2 linked regions of the Arabidopsis thaliana genome follow. The protein of the gene in region 1 interacts with the protein of each later gene in a pairwise test. Each region holds a gene or a part of one and is shown in the gene's direction. Other genes may lie near its edges.

What was found.
Region 2: the proteins of UMAMIT28 (region 1) and TPI interact in a protein complementation assay, tested with the Arabidopsis thaliana proteins (one large-scale study listed by BioGRID).

Annotation. Positions count from the first base shown.
Region 1 is NC_003070.9:34,541-47,133, reverse strand, and holds UMAMIT28 (nodulin MtN21 /EamA-like transporter family protein), read left to right. Parts: upstream 1-6,116; 5' UTR 6,117-6,256; coding exon 6,257-6,459; exon of another isoform or gene 6,460-6,536; coding exon of another isoform or gene 6,537-6,598; coding exon 6,599-6,661; intron 6,662-6,804; coding exon 6,805-6,921; intron 6,922-7,319; coding exon 7,320-7,725; intron 7,726-7,846; coding exon 7,847-7,998; intron 7,999-8,079; coding exon 8,080-8,236; 3' UTR 8,237-8,690; downstream 8,691-12,593. Other genes in the region: AT1G01080 (RNA-binding (RRM/RBD/RNP motifs) family protein), read left to right, coding at 345-761, 989-1,090, 1,180-1,488, 1,575-1,631; LHY (Homeodomain-like superfamily protein), read left to right, coding at 10,073-10,111, 10,213-10,324, 10,449-10,510, 11,171-11,404, 11,487-11,567, 11,660-12,593.
Region 2 is NC_003074.8:20,548,836-20,561,996, forward strand, and holds TPI (triosephosphate isomerase), read left to right. Parts: upstream 1-4,567; 5' UTR 4,568-4,958; coding exon 4,959-4,997; intron 4,998-5,324; coding exon 5,325-5,400; intron 5,401-5,690; coding exon 5,691-5,814; intron 5,815-6,158; coding exon 6,159-6,243; intron 6,244-6,337; coding exon 6,338-6,470; intron 6,471-6,648; coding exon 6,649-6,743; intron 6,744-6,853; coding exon 6,854-6,932; intron 6,933-7,018; coding exon 7,019-7,101; intron 7,102-7,192; coding exon 7,193-7,243; 3' UTR 7,244-7,725; downstream 7,726-13,161. Other genes in the region: AT3G55430 (O-Glycosyl hydrolases family 17 protein), read right to left, coding at 971-1,858, 2,708-3,169; PBL1 (PBS1-like 1), read left to right, coding at 9,294-9,372, 9,491-9,861, 9,954-10,089, 10,168-10,313, 10,393-10,516, 10,704-11,128; SCL30 (SC35-like splicing factor 30), read left to right, coding at 12,189-12,364, 12,465-12,542.

The DNA of each region.
Region 1 (12,593 bases):
AGATTGAGGATGAATGGGCCATTAGACAAGATTGCACTGGTTCTAATTTCATGGCTCCTACTTTCTTTGTAATTAAAGTGTTTGGTAAAGGGAATAAGAGACTTGAAGAAATGAAAATGTTTGAATAATTTTTTATTTTTTGATTTATAACTTTGGGCCTTTTGTTTATTTCATGAAAAACAAAACCTGCTACGCGAAAGAGAGTGTCTCATCTGACGTAGCGAATACCGAGCAGGATTGTAACGGGTTAAATGACCCGACCCGATTTGTTCTATTAATTTCTATTTCATTTCTTTTTTTTTTAATCATTCTTCTCAAATAATTTACTTTCTGGTCCTTCGATAATGGCGGCCTCCTGCTTCGCAATTCCCTTATCTTCTTCTTCTCGATCGTCTCACAATGCAATTCCCAAATACAAAACCCTAATCTCTTCTTCTTCTTACTCTTACTTAGAATCTCTGAAACTTCAATTCTCTTCTTCCAATTCTTTTCATCACTCTTCTCTTTCTCGTCCCTTTGTAGCTCAACCACTTCAAATCAAGGTCTCTTCTTCAGAATTATCAGTTCTCGATGAAGAAAAAGAAGAAGAAGTAGTTAAAGGAGAAGCAGAACCCAATAAAGATAGTGTCGTCTCCAAAGCAGAACCAGTAAAGAAACCGAGACCTTGCGAGCTCTACGTGTGTAATATCCCTAGAAGCTACGACATTGCTCAGCTTCTTGACATGTTTCAGCCTTTTGGAACTGTAATCTCTGTAGAGGTGGTACTTCTTATCCAGATTTGATTGATCCTACAATGCCTTTATGAAAATTCAAAGTTTTACTCTTTCAACTTAGCTTTGAAAATTCAAAGATCATCCACAATGTAATTTGAAAATACTTAGCTTTGAGTTCCATCAAGACGAATCAAACGTACTGGTTACTCTTTTGAGTATATGGATGATTGACAAGTATAGTGAGAGGTGTGCATTGCTTGGAAATGATGTTGCAGGTATCGCGAAATCCTCAGACGGGAGAGAGCCGTGGAAGCGGGTACGTGACAATGGGTTCTATAAACTCTGCCAAAATCGCCATTGCTTCTCTTGATGGAACAGTAAGAGCCCGGGAAACCAAAAAACAAGTCTATCTTTCTTCTGGTTGAGTGTAAAGTTGAGTGCTTTGGTTTTGTTGCTATATATGAAGGAAGTAGGTGGTCGGGAAATGCGGGTTAGGTACTCTGTTGACATGAATCCAGGAACAAGAAGAAACCCTGAAGTCTTGAACTCAACTCCAAAGAAGATTCTGATGTACGAAAGCCAACACAAGGTCTATGTCGGAAATCTCCCTTGGTTCACACAGCCTGATGGTTTGAGAAACCACTTTAGCAAGTTTGGCACAATCGTAAGCACGAGAGTGTTACATGATCGTAAGACCGGGAGAAACAGAGTCTTTGCCTTTCTTTCTTTTACAAGCGGTGAAGAACGTGATGCGGCTTTATCATTCAATGGAACAGTTAAGTTCGTTATCCATAAAAAGAATCTTGCTTGAGGAAACTTCTTCTACTGCTCTCTGGCTTTATCACAATCTCTCTTTTGCAGCAATATGAAGGTCGCAGAATCATCGTCAGAGAAGGTATCGAGAAGAGTGAGTCGTAAACCAACTGTTCTGCTTTTGCTGCAAAGACATCTCTTGGACACAAACAATGTGTAATGAATGTCTTCTGATTTCTTCGACAAGTAACCTTTACATATTATATCCTTCTCGATTTTGTTTATCACCCATTATATCTACCTGTATAATTCTCTTTTCGATCTTCTTCTTCGATTCATCTACTCTACAAATGAAAGATAATCGTCAAACCTCCCCAACTGTCGTCTCACTCTAACATTTTGCCAAACACTTGGTGTGCATGCAATACTCAGGTTCCAAATAAAGAAAACAGAACCATTAGCATCTTCATTTTGTAAGGCTTAACTCCGAGGATCCGATTCGGAGACCCGAATAAGGATTTAGGATCCACACACGACTTTCGTCACTCTCCGATTCCATTCCCCGTTGGAGAAGATCAACCAACTAGGGTTTTAAATCTCGGGAGGAGACTGAAAAAGGCCATAAATGATAAATGGGCTTTATATTTGTTTAGGCCCAGTGAAATGATTTCAAGTGGGCCCATCTGATAACTACCTCCTTTTACCTTCTTACACCAGAAATCACACAAACCCTAGTGTGATTCAGTCCAGAAAATACAAACTTTTTCAATTAATTATATCACTAAATTTGTTTTAAGATATTGATCTTTAGAGCATGTTCATAGGTGATACTCACAAAATATCATCAAGAATATTTTTTAGTATTATTTATAATGTTTGTTTAATAAATATATATAATATTTTTTGCTTTTGTCAAATGTAACCAATCAGAAGAAGCCACGTCAGATGATACTGGTATCACAAATATCAGTGGGCTGATACTGATAAGCATATTCTAATTGCTTTACTAATATAAAAATAATTTTTGTACTTGTGATAATCTAAAAATATCACCCATGTACATGGTTTTATAACTATTTCTTGATTGCAACATTCACTATGGGCTATTAATGCCATTAAAACCGGTTCATTGCTGAATTTATTGGCCCAAACCCTAAAACGCAGCTTAAACTTGTTAGCCAGCCTTTAAACTCTGAAGAGTCAAATCGTGAACAATTAGATTTCACACATAAAGTATTCGTATCTAACTCAGGGTGGACACAATCTTCTTCTTATATGCTAATGATTCGTTCGCCACTTTCACGGTTTCACCTAATTACATACACTATTGTTTTCGTTTATACGTTTCTATTTTTTATTCGCATCTTCCTATTTCACTATTCAAAACCATAGTGTTGCATTACGCATTAGTTCGAGACAATTCAATCCTCCATCGGGGGGCTAAATGATATCACTCTAAATTTATTACACTTTCAAAATTAAAGTTTATATATACCACATATATAAGTAGTGCAAACTAGATGGATCCAATGAAAGAAAAAAAAAAAAAGTGTAAAAGGGATCCAATGAAGATGCGAACAATTAAGATGGAGAATTATTTTGTGAAAGTCACAAATCTCACCTGATTATGATTAGTCTATCTTGTTCAAAAGTGTTTTCTTTTTCCCAGTCATTTCTCGAATCTGAATCAAATATGACGTTTGATTTAGAAAATAGTCATCGTGCATATTTATTAGTGGCTTCTTTGTTATTATTGTCAGTGGTTGATCTATCTAAGAAGAATATGAATATTTAATTTACCTTTTCTCCCTAAATCCTTTTTCCTCTAGTAAATTAGAATAAACTAAACAGTAATTATCTCTTTCCCTACATCTATGTTGAAAATAAGAAGAGAAAGTTTCGATGTTGCGCGGAGTTTTGCAGGAAACACATGCATGTCTCTTCTTATTGATCCAAAATTTAAATTAAAAACAGAAAGCAAAATTAGAACTATAATGGAGATCAAGATTTACCAAGTTACTCAACCTTTATTCAGGCTGGAAGTATATATAACCCACAAAATTCTTAAGAAAGTTTTTGAATTTTGTTTAACCTAAAATTAATAACTTACTTGGTGGATGAAGAATCAATCATATGCTAAGAATTTCCGCGAGAGATGTAAACCTTTTTTTAATTATGTGAAGTTTTATGCTGTGATATAGAATCCGTGAGTAATGTTGTACTATAGTTTAGTGTTTTGAACTTTTGATCCATCCATTTATTTAAGATTAAAATATAAAAAAGAAAATCAAAGAATTTTAGTGGTAATTATTATCATAATCTGTTAGTATTCAATAAATTTTGTAATTTCAGTCCTCACATCAAATATAATAGTATACACATTTCTTTGCGATATTAGTGGCCACAAAATTCCCAATTATGCTCGAAGATAGAAGTTATAAATTAGAAAACTTAGTGAGGTACATGTCGACCCACACTATATATTCTTAACTTTTTTAAAAACGTTATTCTTGTCTCGTTACTTTCAATTGCTTTTCTGCTCCCTCCAACTATTTTTAGTGGGTTTGTTCGATATTATGTTCAAAAATTCTCTTCTTTTCCTTAAAAACATGTCGTGAAAAAAAAACACAAACATTTAGTTTCCGACTGAGTTTTCATTTGCCAAAGTTGTATAGCTAGCGCTTGTTTAGTGCTTGGTGTTAAGAAAAGCAACATGAGGTAAATGGAGGATGATTTCTGTGCCTTAACACCTAAACCATTTAATCGTTTAGACAACATTAGGTTGTTTAAAAAAAAAAACTATTAAGTTGTTCATGCATGTATAAGATAAAATTATTATATATTGATGCATTTAATGAGTTAAATAATTTATAAACAATGTAATAAATTACATTTTATAAGTTGTAAGAAAGATCAATAGTTGTAGCTAGTTGGTAAGAAAAAATATTCTGTTAATTTAACAAGTACAAATTTGCTCGATTTATAGTTTTGTAATATCAGGAAAACAAAATTTCAACTTCAAGTTCTATATTTTCAGTGTTCTAAATCCAAACTATATTTGAAGGAGTAAACTAACATTAGTTTTAACTTCAAAAAGATACTTGTCTAGATAGAAAAAAACGTTTAGACTTCTTAGAGCATCATTATCAATAGGTTGTTAACAATATCATAAGAACTATTAAAATATTATATTAAACAAAATAAGAATAAAAAAAAATAAAAAAGTGTGCTTGAGATGAAAAATGGCTCTTAGCTAAGAGTTTTCTTCCTTATTCTCTTCTTTTGTAAGAGCCTTTCTAATATTTAAACATTATGTTATATATCAAAATTGTTTAGAACTACATGTAAGAGTCCATTGATAAAGATGGTCTTAGCCCACTTAAAGTAACTCATGAACATAGAGAAAATCAGTCTAACTTCTAAAATCAAGACGTGTATGAAAGGCTTAGACACTTGTTTCTGAAAAATTATGTCAAACCAACTCTGAAGCCATGCATAAGTAGGCATATCCCAAATTAATTCCACTTTCACGACCACTCATGCACTCGAACTCAGATAGCAATACCAACTCCTTTTTGTCTTTTCCTTCTTTTTTTCGTATCACAAAAGTTTTGTCAAGTTCAATCTAGATAGATTGCGATCAATCTTATCAATGGAAATAGTAATGTTTCTTCTTTTAGTTTTTTTTTTACCACCCACATGTTAAAATTAAGGGTCAATTTGCAAGATGATTATAAAGAGACATAATCTGCAAAGAATACGCAATATAATATTAGTAAATGAGTGGCAATTTCTCATTCGTGTTTGATTTAAAAGACAAATAGACCGCAACTTAGAATTTTCTGTTAACCTTAACAGAAAATGATATTTGTAATATATATGACTTGTCGTGATAGAATTCACAACCTTTTTTTTTTTCCTTTACTAACACTTTTATTTTGATTTCTATTTTAAATTCGAGTCGTATATTACGATAATATATAATAAAAGTTCTAAAAATTTTCCTTAATATATTATCATTTACATAACACCAATAATCATTTTTTCAGTAAAACCACTAATAAAAAAACTTGTCTTATGGGGTTAAGGGAGTTTAATTGATATATATATATATATTTACAACTTTACTATAGCATTTGAAATAATTTAAAACTCCGTAATTATTTTTGAGCTTTGATTTGTCTACGGCACTGAAGGCGGTGAAAAAAATTATGGTAAAGGCCAAATTTGCCGGACAAAACGAAATTTACATACTGTGCTGTGGAATCAAAAAAAGAAGAAAATATATATATATATATATATATATAACAGGTTGTGGGAACATTAATCTATGCCAAGTTAACGAATTCGTAATTCACCAAAAAAAAAAGTTAACGAATTCGTTAGATTAAAATCAAATGCTTCGGCGTGGTAATGTACCTATGTAATTTCCTTAGAATCTTGCAAAGAGTATTTGGATATATGATGAATATAGTAATATGTTATGCTATTTTAAACGTTTGAAAATCCTATTGTACACATAAAAAATTAAAGGGTGTAGTATGAAGTGCTTGATTAACTTTTCATTAAAACAAATGCATATGCTGTAGTAAGATTTTAGATAAGTAGTTCAGGAGAATAAAAATATAGGTTAACGTTAACGTCAAAGCTAAGTAAGTCCAAAGTGGAACAACACATACACACTTTTCTTATAAATATGGGAAGCTTTGTGGTTGCCAAACTCAAAGCACATTGGGGCTTATCTCTCTCTAAGTAATACACACAAAAATAACTCACATATAGAGAGAGATATGGCTGGAGATATGCAAGGAGTGAGAGTAGTAGAAAAATATTCACCGGTCATAGTGATGGTGATGTCAAATGTAGCGATGGGTTCGGTGAATGCACTTGTGAAGAAAGCTCTTGATGTTGGTGTGAACCATATGGTCATTGGTGCTTATCGAATGGCTATTTCCGCTTTAATTTTGGTTCCCTTTGCCTATGTCTTGGAAAGGTTTGATATGTTGATCGAAATAGGAGATAGTGAAAATTCTGTATTCTAACATGCAAGTAGAAATTTAGAAGCCACGAATGTTAATATATATGTATAATTTTAATGAATTTTCTAAAGAATTTCTATTGTTGTTAAATAGGAAAACAAGACCACAAATAACGTTTAGGCTAATGGTCGATCATTTCGTCAGTGGCCTTCTCGGGTTAGTCCTCTCAAACCTAATTGCATTTTATTATATTATTTTGTCGGCCATTTGCAATTTATTCTTATAGTTTAATAGTTTGTACTAATCATAAGCTAAATTATTAAAGATCTTTTAATTAATTTATGGGTTTAAATTGACAGGGCGAGTTTGATGCAGTTTTTCTTTTTGCTTGGTCTGTCGTACACGTCAGCAACTGTTTCGTGTGCTTTGGTAAGCATGTTGCCTGCAATCACCTTCGCTTTGGCCCTTATTTTCAGGTAACGATGGAACCATCTAACCTCTTTATCATCAATTGATAATATATATTAATCTAGATTTTTAAAAAGCACTACTGAAAGTATTGACAACATAATATAGAACATTATATTTTCTTATTAATTGTAATGCAATCTGATTGGTTTTCTTTTCCATCAAATTACCTTAAGTATACGTAACTGCATCCACTGAGCCCTCTTTCTAAAGCTTTTCCTGAAAAAATGTCTTTTCTTAGCTATACGTCGCATTTTTATAAACTTTGATGGAATGATGCGGAAAATTATTAAAAAGCGACTCTATTTTGTAACGCCAGGAAAGAAAAAAAACAAATACTTTCTACTATGATTCATATTCTCAATAACTTGTTTCAAAATAATCATTAAAATTTTACTTTTTTTAGGACTGAAAATGTGAAGATTCTAAAGACCAAAGCAGGAATGTTGAAGGTGATTGGAACTTTGATCTGTATAAGTGGAGCTTTGTTCTTAACATTTTACAAAGGCCCACAAATATCAAACTCTCACTCTCACTCTCACGGTGGGGCTTCCCACAACAACAACGATCAAGACAAGGCCAATAATTGGCTTCTTGGATGTCTTTATTTAACCATAGGAACAGTGTTGCTATCTCTATGGATGTTGTTTCAAGGGACTTTAAGTATTAAGTACCCTTGCAAATACTCGAGCACTTGTCTTATGTCAATTTTCGCGGCATTTCAATGTGCTCTCTTGAGCCTTTACAAGAGCAGAGACGTTAATGATTGGATCATAGATGATAGATTCGTTATCACCGTCATCATATACGCTGTAAGTTACAAACATCATATCTTTATAAATTAACTTTTTAAAAATTATAAGATTAGTATGTAAGAACTTAAGATATTAATGTGGGTTTTTTTATGTGGTTTTTTTTTATCATATATTATAGGGAGTGGTAGGACAAGCAATGACGACGGTTGCAACAACATGGGGGATTAAAAAATTAGGAGCTGTGTTCGCATCGGCGTTTTTCCCACTTACTCTCATTTCGGCTACTCTATTTGATTTCCTCATTTTACACACTCCTTTATACCTTGGAAGGTATCTTCTTCGATAATCTCTATCAAATTAATTTTGTCTAGGCATAACACTAATTACAACATTAAAACTTTTGGTCTACAGTGTGATTGGATCACTAGTGACCATAACGGGTCTCTACATGTTCTTGTGGGGGAAGAACAAAGAAACGGAATCATCAACTGCATTGTCTTCAGGAATGGATAACGAAGCTCAATATACTACTCCTAATAAGGATAACGACTCTAAGTCGCCCGTTTAATTTAATTATATTGTTGTTAATGTATGTTTCAAATAACTGTTATGTCCTAGTTAATGTTTAAGGAGAGGTAATGAGAGATAAAATTTTATAATTCCAAACATCAACGTAGAGATTTGTGAAATATTTAAATCCGGTTTGTTTGGTTATTTTGGAATAATTTCGGTTATTTCAATTAGATTCGGGTAGTTCAGTTCTTCGGTTAGTAACAAAAACTGGTCTATTGTTTTTTGGTTAACCTAGAACCGAACCGAACTAACCAAAGTTCTCGGTAACCTTTTGTAGTGGCTTCCTGACCGATGAGGCCGTCAACTTCAAAAAATATTGCAACTAAGCTCTGCTCCAACATTAGAGTATCTATAACTATGTTAAACGCTTCTGCTTTAAGCAAAACACAGTTGTAAGCTGGAATCTAAAAAAATGAGTGTAATGATGTTTGCTGAATTCCATAAATAAATACTACATGCTTCGGTTAAGACTTAAGAGTAATTAATGTTCCTTAATTTCTACAAATGTTATATAAGCAAGTTGACCAAAGTTCTCGATGATAATTTGTTGAAATTTTGTATAGGCATTGCATGATATTATATGAAAAGATGAAGATTTTTATACAGACGCAAGTTCCCCGAGCAGTCCAAGCTTGTCGGGTTTAATTCAACTATGTTAATACGCAAATTTATATAGAATAGGCGTAAAAGTGAGGCCCATACAATGTCTTATTACAAGCCCAGATCCAGCATAGCCAATACGTAGCAGTACACCATCACAGCTGGCACCGTACCCACTTGTTTAGTCGTCCAAGTTTGTACCAATAATCGTTTACACGTAAGCAATTGTGGACCACCACACTCACTTTTACCTACGTGAGCTTCACATTGAAGCTTCTGGCTCGTAGAGAAGCAACTTGAGATATACCAAAAAGTGCAGTAGACAGCCACTACAATATCACCACGTGTCGATCTGCGATGACTTCTGTTTTTTCCATTTATACCCTTGGTGCTGTTCCAGCCTCAAATAAACTTTTCAATTAAAATTTTTCCAAAAATTAGGGGAAAAATTGTTGTGGCTGAGATTGCTTCTGGCTTCTCTTCTTCTTCTTCCAGTCTTCTTCAGCCTAAAACAGTCTTCCTTCTTCTTCTTCTTCTTCTTCTTCTTCTTCTTCTTCAGTTATCTTCTTCCTTCTTCTCTCTGTTTTTTAAATTTATTTTTAGAGATTTTTTTTTGTTTTGCTTCCGATTTGATTATTTCCGGGAACGATGACTTCTCCGGGGAGTTCCCGGTGAGATGATAAGTCAGATTGCATACTTGTCTCCTCCATGGCTACTCTCAAGGGTATAACAGTTTACATTATGAGCAGTTTCTAGGATTCCTATAACATACTAAGATCTCTGTTTGGCTGCTGAGAAACTTATAGAAGCGATTAACTAAATCTTATTAGCTCTAAAAGTTAGCATAAATGATACGAATCTGGTGATTGATTACTGATATGAAGATTTGTGAAGGTTTTGGCTGCGGTGGATTCGTTTGGGTGAGGCTTTTGTGAATAATAATAAAGGGAATTCTTTTGAGTTCTGCTGGAGAAGCAGCGACTGTTTCACGGTGGACTTTGAAAAGATTTCTCTTTTGAATTTCGCTCATCACTCTTATCTTAGTGTTTGTGGATAAATATTTCTCATAAAGTACTTTCTCCTTTGCAGTTTCTCTAGAATCTAAAGAGGTTATCACAACGGCTTTGCAATTTGAAAACTTTCATGTTTGGGGAGATCAAAGATGGTTTCTTTTTTATACTTTACTTGTTAGAGAGGATTTGAAGCAGCGAATAGCTGCACCGGTCCTGTTATGGATACTAATACATCTGGAGAAGAATTATTAGCTAAGGTACTACTACTAATGAAATAAGATTGGTGTTTTTTTGTTTGAGAGATTTGGACTGTTGTTGTGTGAAGATTTGATTTTCTTTTGGGTTTTCAAATGTTTAGGCAAGAAAGCCATATACAATAACAAAGCAGCGAGAGCGATGGACTGAGGATGAGCATGAGAGGTTTCTAGAAGCCTTGAGGCTTTATGGAAGAGCTTGGCAACGAATTGAAGGTCGAAAGTTTATCTTTTGAATGTTTAGTTTGAACTCTTTGAGATTTTATATTCCTTTGTTTAGGAGTGTCTTTATCTCCTCTTGATTGGGAGATTCCTTCTTTTCTTTTCATTTTGTGTGCAGAACATATTGGGACAAAGACTGCTGTTCAGATCAGAAGTCATGCACAAAAGTTCTTCACAAAGGTAAGTTGATGATCCTTTCAGATCTTTTTAAAACACTTTCGTTATCTTGTGTAAAGGTACCATTTTTTCATATCGATCTATGACTATGTTTAGAAGTTGCCTGTCACTGTCTGGAAAAGATGATAGAAGGTTCTTCTTATTCTTCCTTTTCTCTAATTGCTTCAACTAGAAATTAGGCGTCTAAGTAGAGTGTGTTTTGCTAAGTAGAGTTGGTTGGTTCCGAGGATTGCATCTCGATCGTTTTTTATCTTTTTCATTTACTCTGTTCAACTAAACTTAACATTAGATTGGTCTGTCCAAACTTACTGTTAGAAAAAACTCTACAGAGAGCTTTCTTCTCTGAGACCATAAGATAGGTCCAAATTAACATAACTAGCGTTGCATTTGGATGACACAATTGTCCCATATTCACTAAAGTCGATGAAATAATGGGATTGCATGAATTCTTTTAGCCATCCATATGGAAACCAAACCTCCTTGCCCTATAGGACAGGACATGAAGTAACTCTATCATCTCTACCCCGAAAAATTCGGGTCAGTATAAGACTTTTTTCAACCTTGGTGATGTGGTCAATTTCATGAATCTCAGGATTTCACATCTGAGCTGCATTTTTCCATCTCCAGTTTGGAAAAGCTCACAGTTTTTGGTTCACATTTCAGTTGGAGAAAGAGGCTGAAGTTAAAGGCATCCCTGTTTGCCAAGCTTTGGACATAGAAATTCCGCCTCCTCGTCCTAAACGAAAACCCAATACTCCTTATCCTCGAAAGCCTGGGAACAACGGTACATCTTCCTCTCAAGTATCATCAGCAAAAGATGCAAAACTTGTTTCATCGGCCTCTTCTTCACAGTTGAATCAGGCGTTCTTGGATTTGGAAAAAATGCCGTTCTCTGAGGTTTATTCCTGATCTTTCTCTTCTTCATTTTATCATTTTGGTGGTCTTGTGATAGACTTCTTATGTTTTATTTTCTGGTTAGAAAACATCAACTGGAAAAGAAAATCAAGATGAGAATTGCTCGGGTGTTTCTACTGTGAACAAGTATCCCTTACCAACGAAAGTAAGTCTAAGAAAGCTACAAAATTGTAGTCGAAGAATCTGATGAATGCTTTCAAGTGCATGACAAATTATTTGTTCCATTCTGATTTTTAGCAGGTAAGTGGCGACATTGAAACAAGTAAGACCTCAACTGTGGACAACGCGGTTCAAGATGTTCCCAAGAAGAACAAAGACAAAGATGGTAACGATGGTACTACTGTGCACAGCATGCAAAACTACCCTTGGCATTTCCACGCAGATATTGTGAACGGGAATATAGCAAAATGCCCTCAAAATCATCCCTCAGGTATGGTATCTCAAGACTTCATGTTTCATCCTATGAGAGAAGAAACTCACGGGCACGCAAATCTTCAAGCTACAACAGCATCTGCTACTACTACAGCTTCTCATCAAGCGTTTCCAGCTTGTCATTCACAGGATGATTACCGTTCGTTTCTCCAGATATCATCTACTTTCTCCAATCTTATTATGTCAACTCTCCTACAGAATCCTGCAGCTCATGCTGCAGCTACATTCGCTGCTTCGGTCTGGCCTTATGCGAGTGTCGGGAATTCTGGTGATTCATCAACCCCAATGAGCTCTTCTCCTCCAAGTATAACTGCCATTGCCGCTGCTACAGTAGCTGCTGCAACTGCTTGGTGGGCTTCTCATGGACTTCTTCCTGTATGCGCTCCAGCTCCAATAACATGTGTTCCATTCTCAACTGTTGCAGTTCCAACTCCAGCAATGACTGAAATGGATACCGTTGAAAATACTCAACCGTTTGAGAAACAAAACACAGCTCTGCAAGATCAAAACTTGGCTTCGAAATCTCCAGCTTCATCATCTGATGATTCAGATGAGACTGGAGTAACCAAGCTAAATGCCGACTCAAAAACCAATGATGATAAAATTGAGGAGGTTGTTGTTACTGCCGCTGTGCATGACTCAAACACTGCCCAGAAGAAAAATCTTGTGGACCGCTCATCCTGTGGCTCAAATACACCTTCAGGGAGTGACGCAGAAACTGATGCATTAGATAAAATGG
Region 2 (13,161 bases), on another chromosome or scaffold:
CTTAGGTAAATCTTAAAAAATGTGGAAGAATTGGAAGATTGGAGAAATATATGTATGAAAAATATTTACATTTCATTAGTTAGTCAATTTTTTCATATAAATTAAATTTCTTGTTTTTTCTAATTTCACATGTTTTTTTTATCAATAAGATTTTTCTTCAGATCCTATAAATCATCATTTTAGTATATGTTATGATTTTCAGAGCTTAGTTTTAAGTGTCATTATACATATATGACGCATCAACCGAATAAAGTTAGAAGAAGCGAGTGTTAAGGGTAGTATGTTATCCTATATTTTCTATGTAGTTGTGATGTCTCTGCACATTACAATCTAGTATTGGTGTATTGATCTCAGGTCACAACCGCACACTTACATTACATGTCTACTTCTACATGGTCTCACCCAAATATGATTTGAATGAGACTAGAATTTACTACAGTATTTCATATATTAACAATTCTGTAACATTGTCATGTCAAGATATGTTAACAATGTAAAGTCATAGTTTTACAACATGTCATAGTTGTCCAATGATACTACTACTACACATTGTCATATTTCTTAGTCTTTTAAACCTTTGTCGGGTCAAAGTATGATTGGTCGAGGAATCGGCATTTAGAAATCTTCAACTGATGCTAATCTCATGGCCTAGAAAGACATAATTATCTTGTAGATAAGGTTATGTTTCTAAACGCTTATATTGCTTTATAGGTTGATGGACCATCTATATCCAACATAAAGATCACAAGTCACACAAATCAATGTTTTTAAGCGTAACGCTGAAGCAAATTTTATGGAAGTTCCACTTTATTTAAATAAAAGGAATCAGCGAAAAAATAATTAACAAAAAAATCTTAAAATTAGGATAATCCGAAATTAAACACAAAGCTGATGATCTCTCAAATCCAAAGTTCCTCAGAACCATTATGTTAGGATTTTCCAGACAAATACTACTACATAGACAATCTCCTTAGTACTTACATGCACCATTGCTTGGGTTGTTCCCTACGATCATACCAGTTCCACTGAAGTTACAAGCACCATCAGTGCGGCCGTGGCTCTGGAAATAAGCATTCATAACAAAAGATGCGTGCGTCCTCAAACTGCTCGGGTTAAAGCACGAACCACCAGCTTGGATCGGTTTACAGTCAACACCCTGACCACACACCCAATTAATACTGTCTTGCAGCTGAGTATTCGTCGCCCCGGACCTCGCTACACACCATTTACCGCCGGCAGTACTAGGTGCGGGCAATGCTGGGCGGCCTCCACCGCCTTGTCCGTTTCGGAGAAGACCAACATCGTAAACCGGGGAGAAATCTGCTCGGAAAAGTCCCCAGTTACGCTCTGCGGTCGGACCGGGTTTGCCTTCTTCGTTGAAGAGACCGAAAATGTATGTCTCGAACCGTCTGTTAGGCATGAGAGGTGTCCCTTGGCCTTGTGCACGTTTGATAATGTTGAGGTTGAACCAAGCAGCATTCGCAGGCGAGCACCAAGGTGCGTCACAAGCAGATGGCCAGCCAGTCTCGCCAACGACAATGTTAACATCACCGTATCCAAGAGCTTTCATGGCTGAGTATGTCGAGTCCATGAGTGCATCAAACATGTTGGTGTAGACGTGGCGGGTGAACGGGTCACGGACTGCCTTGTACGGTGTTCGGAAAATTGCGAAGTTGACGTTTTTGGGGTCAAAACCAAAGTAAGGGTACGGGTTAACCATGAAAGGTGACTTGGTTCGGCGATGGTAAGCTAGGATTGGAGCCAATATGCCTTTGTCCCAACCCGGCCTGAATCTACCGCTGCTTGGTGCACCGGTCAGGTCATAGGCTATGATGTTAAGTGAGTGTGCGGTTGTAACCTGAGATCAATTGCAACAAATAGTAGTATTAGAATCAATTGTTACCTACCAATCTCCAACAATTTTCATATGATAATCATGTTGGTCTAAATTTCCTATGAAATTGGTACATTATCTCATTTACCTAGGATCACATATATCATGATGTAATAAAGGAAACATAAGGCATGGCAGACAGATGAACGAATCTAAGGACAATAGGATAACCTTGGACGGTGATGAGATAAGCACGTGGGATAGTCTAAATGGTCAGATCTTAATCCAATCGCTAACATTTTCAAGTTTCAAATCTTTGAATTTTGCTTTGGGAATTTATTTTTTTCCTCTTTTTAAGAAACTAACAATATACAAGTTGGATGAAAAAAAGAAAGAAGCAAACGCAACATTCTACGTTTGCGTGAAATTTTGGATTTCAAGTTAGATAACAGACGAAAAAATAGAGATTGAATCTAATTTTTCAAAATAATCAATTTTTGTTTTGCATATTTTTTTCAACGTTGTTTTTCAACTTTATACATATGCGCAATCAATGCATTATCTCTGATATAAAAAAGGGAAAGAAAAAAAAACAGTGCATTTTTCACGCCAATCATCAATTCACTATTAATAATTACAATTTCTTTTAGTTAAAGAAAATTAAAACTAGGTAAAAAAGTTAAGTAAACAAAAAAAAAAAAAACTTTCCCACTAGCAAATATCAAATTCAAAGTTGAGATTTCAAAATTTTTTATCTGAAATTTATACAATAATGAACATCAAACTTAACTTTAATTTTATTTACCAAAACCAAACAAATATTCTACTTATTCCTTAAAATAGAAAAATCTGAAAAATAGAGAGAAAGCTGACCTTAACATCTCTGACACCAGCACGAACCAAAGCGTTGTTAAGATTCCTCATCGCCGGTAAGAGATTATTGATCATGTTATTATCTCCGGTGAGCAGAATCTCATTTCCGACTGAGATATACTTAATCTTCGTCTGAGGATGAAACGGCAAAATGTTAACCGAAACCCACCGACGAGCTTGTCTTCCGTTAGCCAACGCCGGAATATCACCGTTAGGAACGGTGACAACGACGGAGATACCAGTTCCAGCGAAGGCACGTAGGATATCGGGATTCACATCGAAGATCTTGACGCTATCAATCGAAGTTTGTGTCTTGATAAAGTTAGCCACCTGAGTCGGTGGTGGGAGGTTTCCGAGAGTTCCGTAGTTAACACCGATGGCGGAGATCACGGCGGGGATGGTGAGGAATACGGCGGCGCAGAGGAGGAGGAGAAGAGAGATTGACGGTGGCGCTTTGGCCATCTTTTTATATTTCGGAAATGAGAAAACCAAACGATTCCAAGTGAAACCCGTGAATCGTTTGAGTTGTGTTTTTATTATTACGACGAATAGATTTTTTTATTCTTATCGAGAAAGTATTTATAATAAAAATTAATAGATATGACCGTTTTGTATAGCGTATACGTGTGTATATTTTTAGTGAGGAACAGCTGGATTTTGTGGAAAGCAAAATAAAAGAAGAAGTTTGTGTTGTCTTTGTTTTTCATGTGCGTCGGCTTAAATTTAGGCCGTTGTAAATTATTGAAAAAGTGGATTTTGTTGTGACCGTGGAAACTTTAGTTAATTAATTTGGCTAATTATAGAGTCTGCTTTTGTTTGGATAATCAATTTGTCATCTTTTTCTTTAATGGTTTTTGGCTGGTAAATACTCATACTATCCAAGTTTAATCTAAAAATATACCTCTTTCTTGTTAATCGTAATTTTACAATCCTAATTTTATCCAGATACGGATGAACTATATTTGAAAAAAAGGAACTAAAGTGAAGTTAAGAAAACAAAAGAGAGATCGAGTGTTGTTTTTTCTTGGATACGTTTATTAAAAGATGTTCTTAATGAGGTCAAAGGAGACTATCTGAGTTTTTACTGCTAAACTTAAAACTAAAAAAAAAATCGATTAGTAATATTGATGTATCAACGAAATGTATATGGTTAAATATTAAGTGAAAAGAAAAAGAAGAGAGATCGACGCGGTTTGGGATAATGCCATTGGCCCATTGGACACGTGTTTGTAGGAGGAATAGTTTGGAGTTTGAACACTACGGACCAAAGTCAAAGAGATTCGAAGTATGAAGATGTTGTTGAGGAAGCTGATTCGAAGTAACTTTTACCGACACGCTTTAGCCATTTGTTATGCTTTCTTTGGGAAAAGAAGATCCGCGTCCATGTCTCATTGTTAACAGTTTATTGTCATTTTCAATGACATGGTTACACTCATTGCACACACACACAAACCACGTAATTTTGTATTTTTTTAATTAAATCCCATCCTTATTTTTTGCAATAACAAATTACCATTGTTACTTTTTAATGATATCACATAAAATAATCGATGCCACTCGATAGCCCTTTAGACTAACAATATGTTTGTTGAAGTATGCCACAATGTTTGAAGTGAGCCGGCTCAATGCTCTCATGGTGGTTTAGTAGTTTAACTTGAGAACTTACAACAGTTTTCTCCTTCTCCACACTATTTGTATCCAAGAAGGGGCATTACAATATAGAATTGCATAATACGATTTAAACTTTTACCAAAAAAAAAAAAGAAAAAAAAAGAAAGAATTGCGTAATACAGAATTTATCTTTAAGGGAATACAAATATAATTTGGTTTCAGAATCATCTCAATAGGCTTTCCTTTAACCAAACTTGGGTTTTATTGATGTGCTTGCTTTAATGGGCCTAAAGCCCATACAACAGCATCACTATCCACGCCGTTGTCTATTCTTATTATTCACCCCACCCGGTACACCGACCAAACCTTGGCCAACACGTCCATAATATTTCATCCTCCCTCCTAATTTACTTTAATATCCTCAACTTTCCTAATCGTTCAGGGAATATTCTCATATACCCTAGACATATGCGTCTTTTCCAATCTAAAATGTTGAGAGTATATTTTTATTTATATATATATGAGTGACCCCTGCGAGAGACAACGGCCACTGAACACTATCGATCTAATCTTTTCAGCTCTCTCCATCGTCGTCGTATCTGTGACTCTCGTGATCATCGCCTGAAAAAAATTTGAGATAATGGCCAGAAAGTTCTTCGTCGGAGGCAACTGGAAATGTGTAAGTGATCTTTACCTTCTATTGCGCACCTTATTATTAGTCTTGTCACTTGATCCTTCCCCGATCAAGTCAAAGAGATCGGAAAATCCCGATCTTAAGATCTAAGGTTTTTTTCATTATTTGTAGCGGTGGAATTTGAATTGTAATGCATATGGTTCAGATTTGTCGATTCTATGCCGGATCTTAGTTGTTTTTTTTTGTCAAAATTTTGAGTAGGAATTTTTCTTCAATTGATATCTCGTGTTCTAGCTTTGGTGGATCCGTGTGTTAATTTTGTTGGTTAAACTATTTTAACATGTTAATATTTGAATTTGTAATCTTATATAGAACGGAACTGCTGAGGAGGTGAAGAAGATTGTGAACACTCTTAATGAAGCTCAGGTTCCTTCACAGGATGTTGTAGGTATGTGTAGCATCTCAATTGCTTTGACGACATTATGGCTTTTTTTTTAATTTCCATGTCTATGAAATCTTAAGTAGTGACAAATATTTTGGGCATACAATTACAAACCTGTTTCAATGTACATCGATGTTCTATAGTGTTTATGCTTCTTAGGAACCATGGATAGATCTAGTGTTTGTTGTTAGTTAAAATGTTCTTTATCATATACTTGTTATGGTTCTATCTTTGTTGATAGTTATAAGTATGTTTGTTCTTGTATTAATAATTTGATGAAATTTTACTAAATGCAGAGGTTGTGGTTAGCCCTCCATATGTTTTTCTTCCCCTGGTTAAGAGCACATTGAGGTCTGACTTTTTTGTTGCGGCACAAAACTGTTGGGTTAAGAAAGGAGGTGCTTTCACTGGTGAAGTGAGGTGAGATTCTAACCATTGGTGTATACTTTAAGCTGTTTTACCATTATTGCTTCATGCAGTAAATATTTATGGTTTTGAAAATGAATATGATTGTGTTTATAAACGAATCGATTTTTCCATCTGTTCTTCTTCTTTATCTTCTTTCCTATAAGAATTGTGTAACCTAAGTGATTAAGAAAACAACTAGTAGTTGGTAGTAAGACCATGATTGGATTCGTGCCTGGTTAGACAAGTAGGTGTAATATGATTTACCTGTCTATGGAATGCTTTCATAGGAAGAAAAGATATATTCTGTGGTGCCTGTATTTCCTGCTCTTATGCATTGTGTAATTTGTGTGTTTTAGTGCGGAGATGCTTGTGAACTTGGATATTCCATGGGTTATCCTTGGTCACTCTGAAAGGAGGGCAATCCTTAATGAATCAAGCGAGGTTGGTGACTTTACATGATAAAATAATTTTCTGGAGACTCAAATAGCTTTTAAATTCATGATTTTGGTTTTTGACCTCTATCCTACATTTGTAGTTCGTCGGAGACAAGGTTGCCTATGCACTTGCTCAAGGTTTGAAAGTGATTGCTTGTGTTGGTGAGACTCTTGAGGAGCGGGAAGCTGGATCGACCATGGATGTTGTGGCTGCCCAGACCAAGGCTATTGCCGGTATGTATATTGTCAAACATTTAATCTCTTTTTGCTATCTCAGTTCGTTCTCGTTTACAGTGAGACCTGTTTTGATGATAGTGATGCCCGTTTCTACGCACTATACTCCCTTAGTGTGTGATTCAAACCCCACAGAAATATTTGTTGGCTAAAAAACTCTTTTTGTTGGTAATGGCAGATCGGGTGACAAACTGGTCAAATGTTGTCATAGCCTATGAACCAGTGTGGGCCATTGGAACCGGAAAGGTCGCTAGCCCAGCCCAAGCTCAAGAAGTAAGTGGTTCTCGATGCGCAGTTGCACTGTAACGTGTTGCATATGGTCATGATTTAATAGGAAAACCAATGCTGTTTTCCTTACGAGAGCTTGTTTCGTTTATGAACAGGTACACGATGAGCTGAGGAAATGGCTGGCCAAGAACGTGAGTGCTGATGTCGCTGCTACAACCCGCATCATTTATGGAGGTAGATAGATGATAACACGATCTTTAATTAAACACCCCTATATAGTTTTCTATGTTACTTAGCTTGATTATGCAAATTATTATCAGGATCCGTCAATGGTGGTAACTGCAAGGAGCTAGGTGGACAGGCCGATGTTGATGGTTTCTTGGTCGGTGGTGCTTCTCTAAAGGTACATATAATATGGTTTCTCTTGTAATGATATCTTTCGTTTGTCTCTTTCAAAACCATGACTAATGTTTTCATTCTTGGTCTTTTTGCAGCCTGAGTTTATCGACATCATTAAGGCCGCAGAGGTGAAGAAAAGTGCCTAATGAGCTCATTAAGCAATTTAAAAGTCCTTTGCTTTTCCAGTCGCAACTCTGAAAAAATGAATAAGTTGGTATTATGATATGATACATTTTGCTTCAGTTGTATTTGGCAAAAGTTTCTCTCTTACTATATTGTTTTGAGAACGCAACAATCATTTTCTTCGCCATTTATTTAGCTGTGGACTTGCAATTTGCAAATCCCTTCCTTTTACAGTCTTCTCAACTCTTCAGAGAATCTGTGTTTGGAGTTCATAACCCCTCGGGCCTTTTGATCAAACCCCTATTTCTAATGTCGTCCGATCATAAACCTGTGTGTTATATAATATGTTGTTTGTTCCATTTTAGACTTTGGTATTTTGTCATGCTTGATCTCTGAATCATGCTGTCAACCACTTTGAAAATGGCTTTACTTGTTAAATAAATGACGAGAGAATACAGGAGAAGTGGGAAATGACTTTATTTTTTCCCTTTTATCGCTTTTTGCCTATTGGTCTGTCATTTTTGACATTTTAGCTTTTAGAACATTATTATTTTCAACTTTATTGTCATCATCTTGAAAAATGTCCAACATTACGAAATTATTATGTAGAGAGTAAAAAAGGAAAAGAAATTTCATGGAGAAACTCATTGTATTAGGAATGTCAATGTTTGTAGAAAACAAAATGCTTATGTAATTTGAGTAAAACGGCTCAGTGGAACTAAAGTGATAATGTAAAAGAGACGGTTAAGTCCAAAATAAGAGCTCCCGTATGTCAGAATTGTTCAAACCATTTATTAAAAAATTGGACTCAGTATGATGAAAATGTGTATGGATTTTGATCCGACCACGAAAATCCAACTAGTGCCAATAAAAACTCCACAATATGTGACTCAGCTACAAATGTGATAACGTATTATCTCCCAAGTCAACCCACATTTCTGGTGACTTATATTTTATTTATTTCTGAGTAATATTTAAGAAAGTAGGGATTGAATTTTTATGAGTATTATATTATATAGTTGACCTTGGACTTATTTGCGTAACGAGCAAACAATTGTGACCTTAGAAATGGAGGTTTGACTAAGTCATCGATCATTTCAGCAATAGAGTAATTTTGGGTCCGTATGACTCAAAACAAGTTTTGGTAAAAAATTTCTCTGTTTTAAAAACTTGTATTTATAAAACTTATGTCCCATCCCATGATACTAAATTTAATTACATTATACGTATGTAGTCAAGCATAATTTTTTCCTGAAAAATCTTATTTTTCTTACCTACTTGTAAACTTTAATTTAATTCCTGGTTAAGTAGATATTTTTCTTAGTTCTTACAAATCTTATATTTTCTTACCTACTTTTATAAACATTTTTGAGACCACTATTACTAAACCCGAATCTGTTTCATCATTCCACACCCAAAGCATATAAATCGAAAATATCTATGATCACATGAATATCTATCATTTTCGACAAAATTTGTCCTTTTTTTTCTTTCTTTTTGTATCCAACCCCACCACGGCGAATTTATTTCAGGCCTATTAAAGATTCCAAAATCTCATGACCATCTGACTCAGATGTCATATCTATTAAAAACGTTATTTTGAATCTTAAACATATATCATTAGTGATCTTTTTGCACGTTTACTCAGATGCTTAAGATCATCAAAATCAATCTATGAATTTCAAAAGTTTTAAAAATCATACAATAGAAAAGTCCCACTGATCATTAAATTGTTATTACTAATTTTATTTAGAACTCGTTTATTATCTTTTGGTCAAAAATATAACTTTTGTCTGAATTCGTTTTTTTTTTGTTTGGACAAGAAAAAGACCTTTCTTCTTCCTTCGGTTGCCTCTACCATCTCATCAACACACATCTTCTCTTTCTCTTCTCTCATCCTCTCTCTTCTTCAGTGTTTACTTTTTCTCTTTCTCTTTTTTTTTTCTCTTTATTATTTCGCTTTAATGAGTTTTATCTGATAGAATCTGCTCCACCCAAAAACAGCATAAGAAGAAATTCATTGTCAGAGAAAAGTGCAAAAAAAAAAAACGATCTTCTTCATCATTCTACTAAATGGGTTCTTGTCTCAGTTCTCGTGTCCTTAGTACGTTCTCTACAATTCTCCATCTCCCATTTTTTTTTTTTTTTTTTTGTGATTCACACATGTGTATCTCTTCAAATCCGTGATCTTTTTGGTTAATCGATAATGGCTTTTAAGAAAAGGAATGAAATTTGCAAGAATCTTCTTCCTGTGATCTAACTGAATAAAGTTTTCCCCTTTTTTGGCGTTCTCTCAATTTTGACTGTGGTCAACGCTTTTGTGTGTTGTGCAGATAAGAGCAGTAGTGGTCTCGATGATCTTCATCTCTCGAGCTGTAAATCTTCATCATCAGCTACAGCTCATAAGACAGAAGGAGAAATCCTTAGCTCAACGACCGTCAAAAGCTTTAGCTTTAATGAACTTAAACTCGCTACTAGAAACTTCAGATCGGACTCTGTTGTTGGAGAAGGTGGCTTTGGTTGTGTCTTTAGAGGTTGGCTTGATGAGACTACTCTTACTCCTACCAAATCTAGCTCTGGTCTTGTTATTGCTGTTAAACGACTTAACCCTGATGGTTTTCAAGGTCACCGAGAATGGCTGGTACAACACTTGTTTCTTATCTTTGATTTATAACACTCTTTTGTTTTTGTGTGTGTAGGTTCTGATATTGATCTTTTTTTTTGTGGTTTCAGACAGAGATTAACTATTTGGGGCAGTTAAGTCACCCGAATTTGGTTAAATTGATTGGTTATTGCTTGGAAGATGAACAACGGCTTCTTGTGTATGAGTTTATGCACAAGGGTAGTCTTGAGAATCATCTGTTTGCAAGTGAGTCTTTGATCTCGTCCATGTTTTGTGAAACTTTGAGAGGTTGTTTGTTCTTATGTTTGAATGATTTTTTTGAAGATGGAAATAAGGATTTTAAGCCGCTATCTTGGATTCTACGGATTAAGGTTGCACTTGATGCAGCTAAAGGTCTTGCATTTCTTCATAGTGATCCCGTCAAAGTCATTTACAGAGACATCAAGGCGTCAAACATCTTACTGGACTCGGTATTCTTCTCTTTCGATGTCTACTTGTTGTCTTTATCAACGACTTAAAAGATACTGAGTTTTGTCTTTCAAACAACAGGACTTCAACGCAAAGCTTTCAGACTTTGGTTTAGCGAGAGACGGTCCAATGGGAGAACAAAGTTATGTTAGTACAAGGGTCATGGGTACTTTTGGGTACGCAGCTCCTGAGTATGTCTCAACAGGTACATTCTGTCACTAAGATATGATGCAAGTAATAATGGTTGGATAAGAAAATGTAAGACTGTTGCATGGTGCCTAACACTGGTTTTTAATGTAAATTTGAAGATAGCAACTATAAAATTTATGTGGTTAAAGGAGCATATGGGTTGATAGCTAGTTTCGTTCTCTCATCTTTCTATCTTTTTTCAGGCCACTTAAATGCTAGAAGCGACGTATACAGTTTCGGGGTTGTTCTGCTAGAACTACTATGTGGAAGGCAAGCACTAGACCATAACCGCCCGGCCAAGGAGCAAAACCTTGTGGATTGGGCTCGACCATACCTCACAAGCAGGCGAAAGGTTCTACTAATTGTGGACACTCGGCTTAACTCACAGTACAAACCCGAAGGAGCAGTGAGACTGGCAAGCATTGCTGTGCAATGCCTATCATTCGAACCCAAATCACGTCCGACCATGGACCAAGTGGTTCGAGCCTTGGTACAGCTGCAAGACAGCGTGGTTAAACCGGCCAATGTTGACCCGCTTAAGGTTAAGGATACCAAGAAACTTGTGGGATTGAAAACAGAAGACAAGTACCAGAGAAACGGTTTAAACAAAAAAACCGTTGGATTGTAGTAGGTAGAGGGAAATATAAGGTTACTTGGTTAGGTACTCTTCATGTCTTCTTCTTGTGTATTGTAATATTGTGCGAAGTGATTTTGACATTTTGTAACACTGCTTATAGTTTTGCTCCTGAAATATTCGATTTGGAGATACTTGTTTTCTCTCTATCTATAGTTTGGTGATATATGCCAAAATGTGGTAGTGATCAATTCCACTCTCTTCTAACATTTTAGTTTACTATATATGTAACTAATTTCTGTCAAGTTGATTTGTTTTTATGAAAATGACTTTAATTAGTATAGTTGATGATTGAATCATAAATAACTTGTAGCCAAAAACAGACAGAATAGTACAACAAACTCATAATGTAACATTAATATCAATTCCGAAGTTCACAAAATACCATAAATATCAAATTCCATGAACATTGTCATCAACCAGAAATAAATAAATTTTACGTTAATTAAGCCAAAATGGATCTCGAGTTAAATCAATATCAATAACTATTCAACATAGCCAAATAAGTCACTATTTTAGAACAAGAACTAACTCAATTTGAGGTTTTCAAAATTCCTATATCAATTTAGAACGAGAATCTCCAAAACACAAGTCACCTCAGTAAACTTATATATTTAAGGGTTACTTTGTTTTTGTCATAAATGTTAAAAGTTACTAAAACTGTTTTTTCCCCAATTTTTTTTACTGTTTCTCTAATTGTCAACAATCAACAATCTTTCCCTTTTTCCATTTAAAAAAACATACGCGAAAAAGGAAAAAACGCGATAAGGCCAAAAGCCCATTTAATAAATGGGCCAAGCTCTCCGATCAATAGAAAAAGATCTGTCTTCTTCTTCTCTATTCTCTGATCTCTCATAAGAAGGGCTTAGGGTTCACTTCAGATCTGTCTTTGAACATTGCTACTCTCAAGTGATCAAATTAACTCCGTCGCAGGTAAATTCCACAATCCTCCGACCGTAAACCCTAATTTATCACTGTTCTTCCAAGAAACAAGTTTTTGTTTTGATGAAATTGAGGATCTTGCGTTGAAATCGTTTTGTTTCTATGGTAGGTGATGAGGAGATACAGTCCGCCTTATTACAGTCCTCCGAGGAGAGGATACGGTGGTCGAGGTAGAAGTCCTCCTCCTCCTCCTCCTCGACGTGGATATGGTGGTGGTGGTGGTGGTGGTGGACGTAGAGGATCTAGCCATGGAAGTCTCTTGGTTCGTAACATTCCTCTTGATTGCAGGTAAATTCTCTTCCTTTGGTTTAAAGTTTTGATTTTGTTTTAGTTTATCTTTGAAGATTTCGTTGGGTTGTTGTTGATTTTGTTGTTTTTGATTTTGTAGACCAGAAGAGCTTCGTGAGCCCTTTGAGAGGTTTGGACCTGTGAGAGATGTCTATATCCCCAGAGACTATTACTCAGGGTAAGCCTCCTCTTTCCTTCTCGATATCTTGATCTTTTTCACTGTACCTGAAATTTGTGCTGCGAATTATGTCTTTTGAGGTGTGAATCTTTTATAGATGGACTAGTTAGGTAATGGCTTAGCATATGATTCTTGTTTTCCTGTAGAATTTGCTTTCTTTACGATTGAAAAATGCTGTCTAAACACTTTGCTGCTTCACATTCAATGCTGAACCATTTGTTTTGATTAAAAAGGATGTTCATAAGTCTTCAACTTGTGCACAAAGTGAGGAAAATTGCAAGTGACATATGAGTTTTGAATTTTGATTTTGGCGCAACCTGTGCATGTTACTTTTTTTATACACTCCACTTTTTGATCGAGCTAAGTTCTCGAGGTGAGAAGAGGTCCTTTTGGTTGAGTTCTCGATTTTTTCAGAGCTTTTTGTTTTGGAGTTCTTTTTTTCATAGTAAATTAAACATTCCACTGATTTCCCAGGGGGTATGTTGGCTTGAAGTTAAAACAAGACCAAGCCCCACATTTGATGAAGGCCTCATGAAAAAAATCTTAACTTAAGGATATTAAGGGTCATTTCAAATCAAGAATGTTTTGTTTGGAAGCAAGTTATATGTGAAGCATGTTT